Linked DNA regions of Lonchura striata. The protein of the gene in region 2 interacts with the protein of the main gene of each other region in a pairwise test. Links are inferred from orthologs where the notes say so. Each region holds a gene or a part of one and is shown on either strand. Other genes may lie near its edges.

What was found.
Region 1: the proteins of DBNL (region 2) and SH3BP2 interact in binary tests that used the Homo sapiens proteins (3 or more experiments, as listed by UniProt). The link is inferred for Lonchura striata from reciprocal best matches to the Homo sapiens genes DBNL and SH3BP2.

What each region holds. Positions count from the first base shown.
Region 1 is NC_134606.1:9,292,256-9,296,161, reverse strand, and holds the start of SH3BP2 (SH3 domain-binding protein 2), read right to left. Parts: upstream 2,297-3,906; 5' UTR 2,177-2,296; coding exon 2,067-2,176; intron 1-2,066. UniProt on the Homo sapiens protein: Binds differentially to the SH3 domains of certain proteins of signal transduction pathways. Binds to phosphatidylinositols; linking the hemopoietic tyrosine kinase fes to the cytoplasmic membrane in a phosphorylation dependent mechanism.
Region 2 is NC_134634.1:5,291,941-5,295,846, reverse strand, and holds the start of DBNL (drebrin-like protein), read right to left. Parts: upstream 2,851-3,906; 5' UTR 2,813-2,850; coding exon 2,730-2,812; intron 2,361-2,729; coding exon 2,305-2,360; intron 638-2,304; coding exon 525-637; intron 1-524. UniProt on the Homo sapiens protein: Adapter protein that binds F-actin and DNM1, and thereby plays a role in receptor-mediated endocytosis.

The DNA.
Region 1 (3,906 bases), on a different chromosome or scaffold from region 2:
TACATTCTTACACTACGAGACAAAGCCCCCATCACACATTTTCACCTCTGGTGCATCAGAGAGACTCTTCCACAGGGCTGAAACCCAAGTTAACAGAAAGGGCTCCCAGTGCAGCCAAAGCTCCTCCTGACACTGGTTCTCCGTCACAAACAGAGGGCAACATCCCATGCATTATTTGGTGAAAGCTTCTAGTAATAGATACACACTTTATTCCTCTTCCCACTCACCAAGGAATTAGATACATATTTTTAACCAGTTTTTCCACCAAGTCCCAAACCCACTGCATGTGGCTACTGAATTAATTTTCTCCCCCACTGAATGGAACCCTCTGAACAAGAAGAGGACCGCAGCAGTCACGGAAAGGTCTTGCATCACTGTTTCTCAGGTGATCCCTGTGACAATTATATGCCTATGCGGGAGATGAAAGGCCTTGCAGTGTAGCAGGAGAAATAGTAGAACAGCAGTTTCTAGGATGTGCTTCATCATTCAAGAGTGCTTTTGGAAAGACAGAACGGTGCAATCAGCACCCTGGAGCATGATACAGAGCTTTTATAATCATTATTGTAACTGCTTCTTATATACAAACTGGTCTACCAGACTGAAAACTAAAACAATTTGCAGTGTATTGCTAATGTATCAAAGTCACCCCAAGTCTATCACATCAGCATACTTTTCTCAAACACTATCACAATGAGCCAGCTTTTATTTCAAAGTACCCTGAAAGTTAAACAGCAGGAAAAAAAGTGAATTCACACACTTCATCTCGTAACCAGGATAGGGCCAGTCAGATACAGAAGTGAAACATAGTACTGAAACATAGTACTGCCACCAAGTTCAAACTCTGAATGGATAGCAGACTTCTGTTATTGTGTAGCAGGTAAAGATCTATATCTGTGAGGCAATTTTAATCTAACTGCTCGCTCAATAGATAGAGAATAGCTAGAAGGAAGGCTAGGGTATAACTTTACAGGCTGAAAGGCCCTCCACGAGTAAAAGTAAAATTCTGCCACATGAAAAATCTGGATTACATTGTAGAAGAACACTTATCCCTCTTGGCCTTAAGAGTTATTGGAGTTCAGCCCAATTAGAGCAAATACAAGTTGATTCAATTAAGGATTGCATCCTGGAAAAGTCCTCAGATCTTGCTTAACTTCAGCAGAATATATGGCAGATGTGATTATCTCCACATCTTGCAGTATATAGGCAAAAAAAATATTACCCTCTTCTGAGATTACAGCTGCCAATAGTTGTTTTAAAAGTTATCACATATTACAATAATATTTATGATCTGGCCCTGTTTGGTCATGCTGGAAAAAACAAAAAACCAGCCTGAATTTGTAACAACGCTCTCTATGCCAATTACTGAGAACTTTTACAACTGTAATCTCATAACCTCTAGTCCTTAAATTTTTAGTGGAAGCAAAACATAGCTAAATTATGCAGAGGGAGACTGAAGTATCAGGCTTTACCAAAAATGAGGCAGCATTACACAGTGCAGAACAGGAAAAGTTTCCCCTACACGCTCTCAGCAATTCTCAGTTAGAATAATTTCTGTTTCAATCATCTAAACATGTACCATCTGTTCTTAATACTGCTTTCTGCAGAATTATCAGATTGTAAATTTGCTCTTGTAAATTTATTAACTATTCTCCAGTACTTCTAAAATACTCTTCTATATCTCACCTACTTTTTCTGGTTACACATTCCATTTCTTAATACCTCTAACAGCCCCTTTCACAATACTCTCTCAGAAAGATTAATAGCACAGTACAAACACTGAAGTAAAAACAAGATCTTACAAGACAAAGGGAACAGAGAAATAAGCCCAACTGAGATACGGCGTATAACTAAATTCACTCTCTTTAACTTGCTTCAACTTGCTTTTCTTTTCTGACAAGTTTTCAACCAACACCCAACTCATCTCTTCCCACTCCAATCCTTTATCATTGAATTTTCTGCAGGAGTTCAAGTATTTTAGCTCAGATACCATGTCCCACTCTTAGCTGCAGTCTGCTCTCGACCTGAAGGAGAAAAGATGACAAACACAAGCCACAAGAAGCACTAACCTGGTGACCTTGTCCGACCGACACATAGTTCTTCTGCAGACAGTTTCAGCGAATGATTGTTTCCTTTGTGATGACAAAGCCATTAACAACTTATGACCCCTCTCAGGCATGGCAGGAACATCCCTGCACCTCTCCCGCGTTTGGGTACTCCCAGGTTGAAAGCCACAGCTGCAGCTGCCGTCTGCTCAACACACAAAAGGAGAAGAAAGCCTGCCCCAGCTGCTTGTGCATCTGCAGTGCACTGTGGCCAAAAGTGACGCCAGGCAATGACTTGTTTCCTTTGTTACTTCCTGTTCCCCCCACTGGCTGCGGGCAGCGCTATCTCTGTCAGATCTCCCAGCTTCCCAGACAGGTTATAAATCAATTCCCGCACAGCTCCAACGCCCGGCAGACATCGTGCTAGAAAGCAGAGGGGATTTTCCAGTGCTCACTTTCTTCCTACGCACCTTTCAATCAATCACTTTCCTATGGGAGAAGAAGAAAGTCGTCCTTTTTTCTCCCAGTGTGCTGGAGCTCCCACTCTGGCAGAGACACGGCTCAGAAATGCTGCCCGTGCTCCTGAAGAGCCTGTGCCTCAGCTACTTGCACTGCACCACAGAACTGTAAGTATTTAACCTGTTTTCTTCCCCACAGCTGGAGCTTCTCCTTCCCTCTTCAACCCAAGACAATCAAAACAGCCATCCTGAAAAATTCTGCAGCATGAATATGCTTTAGAACAAGTCTGGCCGGTATGGTTGATGGTACACAAACCACAAAAGGCAATAAAATTCAAATTCAAGAGGTTGACAGTGCACAATTGCTCACAAGTATCGCCAACCGATAATGAATAAATGTAATTGATTTACAATTACTTTCATCTGGCGTTCTTAAAAGGATTCAAGTGTTTCACTAACTTGTCTAGATTGAAACAACATTCCAGGCTCAAAAGTTTGAGCACGACAAAATCAACTAGCAAGTTTCTGAATTATGGTCAAAACATCTATAAGTATGTCAAGAAAAGCTTACTTCACATATTTTGGAGGAAATAGCCATAAATCTGTATCCCAAAATAGAAGGAAGAAGTCTCCATACAACATCTCTTTTTGTAAATGACCCAACAGTCAAAGCACAAAAGAAAGTAACATTTCAGAAACTGCTCACGGCTGTATGGGCTAGAAAAACCAGCTCTCCCACCATAGGGCACCCATTTGCACTCCTTCCATTGCCAGGCTCTATAGGAAGGGAAACTGAACCATAAATACCACACACCTGCTGTTAGCCAAAAGGATCTGCATATCAGAACAAAAGATCCCAGTGCTCTGCAATAAGGATCAATACCCAGTTGTCTCAGTGGCTTGACAGATTTTTCACACAGAAAGTAATTACAGAGGACTAATCTCAGTGCTTTGTGAATTAATTCACTTGCTTTATTTGTTACAGTATCCGTTACTCATTTAAGGCCCACTGCTCTAAATCTATCTTTCCTCCCTGAGTTCTCTTTTATCTAAGTATACTCTTCTGAGTCTGCATTAGCATCTTTGCAAGCTGTTTCTCCAATTTAGTAAAAAAAAAAATAGATTTAGAATGACAGCACTTGAGTATATGCAATACTGGAAAAAATACTTCAGTTCCTCTTTCCCTTTTCTGATATGACACACCTAACTCCTGGTTTTCCCCTCCAAACTCCACGACTTCTACTACCACACTCTTTGGCCTCAACATTCTCATTAAACCATGCCTCTTCATCCAACACATGTTCCTGAGGTACTGCTTTTCCCCTCTCACCTTTCTCATGCTGTACTCTCTCTCTTTCCTAATTTTAGTACTCAGAAATGAAGCAGAATTTTTCATTTCAAGTTCG
Region 2 (3,906 bases):
TCCCCAAGCTCACCTGGGCCCCTCCCCAGCTCACCTGAGCCCCTCGGGCTGCAGCACCTGCATGTGAGCCTGGGCCCCTCCCCAAGCTCACCTGAGCCCTTCCCCAGCTCACCTGAGCCCCTCCCCAGCTCACCTGAGCCCTTCCCCAGCTCACCCGAGCCCTTCCCCAGCTCACCTGAGCCCTTCCCCAGCTCACCTGGACCCCTCCCCAGCTCACCTGAGCCCCTCCCCAGCTCACCTGGACCCCTCCCCAGCTCACCTGAGCCCCTCCCCAGCTCACCTGAGCCCCTCCCCAGCTCACCTGAGCCCTTCCCCAGCTCACCCGGACCCCTCCCCAGCTCACCTGAGCCCTTCCCCAGCTCACCTGGACCCCTCCCAAGCTCACCCGAGCCCCTCCCCAGCTCACCCGGACCCCTCCCCAGCTCACCCGGGCCCCTGGAGCTCTGCAAGGGGCTCGGAGGCGTCCCCGGAGCCGTGTCCTCCCCAGGCTGGCCCCAGCTGCCCCGAGGGCTGTCCCCACTCACCCAGTTGACCAGGACGTATTTGGGCAGCCCCGAGTTGGGATCCTTCACGCGGCAGAAGCCGTACATCACCTTCCCGCTGTTGAGCTCCTCCACCATCTCCTGCAGCCCCCCGTCTGCCCGGGGGAAGGAGAGGGGTGAGTGCAGCCCCCCGGGCGTGCGGGGAGCAGCCAGCCCCGTCCCAGCTCTGCTGGATGTGGCTCACCAGGGGCTCGGAGCCCGTGCTTGCTCTGCAAACACGGCCTGAGCATTTACCACCCGTGGGAGCCAAGCCCCCGCCTCTGCTCGCCCACTGCCACCCCCAGCAGCCTTCATCACCCAGCTCCTCTTCCTCGGGCCTTTGCAAACCCCACACGGGCCGATCCTGGATCTCAGGCCTGAGAGAGAAGGGGAAGGAGCTGCTCACGCTCAGTCAATTAGAAGCTTTAATGAGAGCAGGCAGCTGCCAGCTTTGCCCACAGGTTCCTGCACAAAGCCCGGCTCAGAAGCACCTCTGTGAGCGGGGCAATGGGGCTGGGAGTGGCGGAGGAACTGGCTGAGCCTTGTTCCTGCTTTGCAAGTAGAGAAGGAACCAAAAGGGCAGCACGGGGCAAGGTCCTGCCAGGGCAGCACGGGGAAACTCCTGCCTCGACGCCTCCCTCCCTGTTACACCCACCTAGAGTGGTCTCAGTGCTGGTTTGAGCACCTGGGAGTGAACCCCAGAGGGAAAATCCCACACAGGGCTCAGGCAGGGGCGATGGAAAGGGACCAGCATTGCCCCCACTACATCCATAACTACCAGGAAAGGAGGAAAACCATCAAAAATGCAGACTCTCATCTCAAAAATATTCCCCCAGACCACAGTTCCTCCTGTGCTGGGCTGGCTGAGCCCTGAAAAGTGGGAAAAGAGCCACTGGTCCCTGTCAGCCCTGGCAGGAGCAAAGAGACCAACACAGCTCACTCCGCTCTGCAGCATCACCCGATCACTTCCTTCTCCCTATTAAATATTTATGATTTGGCTCTAAATTTGGCTCCAAACCCGGCAGGGAAGTTGAAGGTTGGAAGTCTGAAGCTGGTTGGTGAGCGCTGGCTGGGGGGAGCTCGGGGCATGCTCTCTGCAGCTCCCCAAAACTCCCCAAAATTCCCCAAAACCCCATCTGGGATTTGACAAGAGTCCTCCTCAACAGAATTCCCCAGCACCAAAGCCCTGGCTCCGTGGGCTCCACCTGTGGGACATCCCAGAAACTTCCACAGGCTGGGAAAAGCACTTGGAAATCACAGGAGAAGCTGGGGAGGGATGAGAAGATGCAAATGCCAAGCGTGGGGAAACCAGCCTGGTGCTGCTGCCCGGAGGCTTCGGCTTCACAGCCAGCGGGGCTTGGGTGGGAATCAGACAAAAACAAAATAAAATGAAAAAAATAAAACAGAACTGCAGGAAGAAGGGAACTGGACATGAGGGGATTTAGGAGCACCGAGTAGGGAGGCCTGGATGAGTGAGTGGCTTTGGAGGACCACGTGGCCCTGCCTAAATCCGGGATCTAAAATACTTGAGGGGTGCAAAGAGGGGCCAAGATCCAAACTTTGCATCCCCTGGAAGGGAGGCAAACGAAAGGAAAGGGGAAGCAGAGCTGGCACTGAGGCTCTGCTCCAGGTCCCTCACTCTGAAATCCCACTGGACACCCCGACACAGCTCCCAGCCCTGTCCCAGCAGCATGGGCACCCCAAAACACCCCCGGGGATTAAACCCCCCGACATCTCAGGCCCCAGACACCTGGAAATGGGGGATGGTCCCCAAAATCCTCACCTCCAGAGCCAGCCACTCGCAGGTCATTGCTGTTGCCTTCGTAGGTGAAGAGAGCCCTAAAATGAAGGCAGAAATGGGATTTTTGGCCAGCACAGCGCTTATCTGGGGTGTTCCCACACCCCTGGCGCCTCCCGAGGGGCAGAGCCCCAGAGGGACCCGCCACCCCCAGCCCGGGGACCCCCTGAGCCCCCCAACCCCGTCCCCAAATCCCCCCGTGTCCCCCAGACCCACCGGCCCATACCTGCCCTCCCCCCCCGCCCATCCCCATCCCCTCCCCACCCCCTCGCATGGCCCCGCACCCCCATCCCCCACCCGCCACCCACATCCCCGAGCCCGTCCCGGCCCCCACCCCCACCCATCCCCACCCATCCCCGGTGCCGGTCCCGGTGCCGGTGCCGGTCCCGGTGCCGGTGCCGGTCCCGCACCAGTCCGTGCGGCTGCCCGCCGCCACCACGCTCCCGTAGGCCTCCTGCAGCGCCCGCCCGTTCTTGGCCAGGTTCAGCGCCATGGCCGCGCCCGCTCCGCCCGCCGGTGCTACCGGCACCGCCCCCGGTACCGCCCCGGGGTGATACCGGCACCGCCCCGCCGTGATACCGGTACCGCCCCCGGTACCGCCCCCGGTACCGCCCCGCCGTGTACCGGCCCCGCCCCCGGCCCCGCCCCCGGCCCCGCCCCCGGTACCGCCCCGGGGTGATACCGGCACCGCCCCCGGTACCGCCCCGCCGTGTACCGGCACCGCCCCCGGTACCGCCCCCGGTACCGCCCCGCCGTGATACCGGCACCGCCCCCGGTACCGCCCCCGGTACCGCCCCGCCGTGATACCGGCACCGCCCCCGGCACCGCCCCCGGTACCGCCCTCGGCCCCGCCCCCGGTACCGGCCCCGCCCCGTGCAGCCCCGCCCCACCAGGCCACGCCCACGGCCCATAGACCCCGCCCCTAATTTCACAGGCCACGCCCCCGTGAGGCTAGACCACGCCCCCGAGCGCGAGAATCCCCCCAAATTGCAGAGCCCGCCCCCAAAAACCCCGGCAGGGAGACCCCCCAACAGACAGGCCCCGCCCCTTGCGGGGTCCCTGCGGACCCCCATCCCCGGGGCTCCCGGGGCTCCCGGGGCTCCTCTGCCCCGGGGCGGTCCGGGGTACCCGGCCCGGTTCGATTCTGGGAGACCCCCGCCCAGCGGGGTCCCGCAGCTCCGGTTCTCGGGGACCCCATCCCGCGCTGTCCCGGTTCTCGGGGACCCCATCCCGCCTTGTCCCGGTTCTCGGGGACCCCATCCCGCCTTGTCCCGGTTCTCGGGGACCCCATCCCGCGCTGTCCCGGGACAGCCGCCCCGGTTCTCGGGGTTCTCTGCGGCAGCGCAGCCCCGGCAGCACCGCCCGCAGCCCGCGCAGCGCTCCCGCGGCCCCGGGGGCAGAAAATCGCCTTTTTCGGGGTTTCCCCCATTTCCCAGCCTGAGGAGGGGCACAGCGGGGATGTCGGAGGGTACCGGGGCTTTTTGGGGCTGTAAATGCGTCTCAGTTTCAGCCCCAGTTATCAAAATGGTGCCGCTCGCCCCGCCGTGGCGATGACCCTCCCGGAGCGGCGCTCTCGGGGGGCAGCCG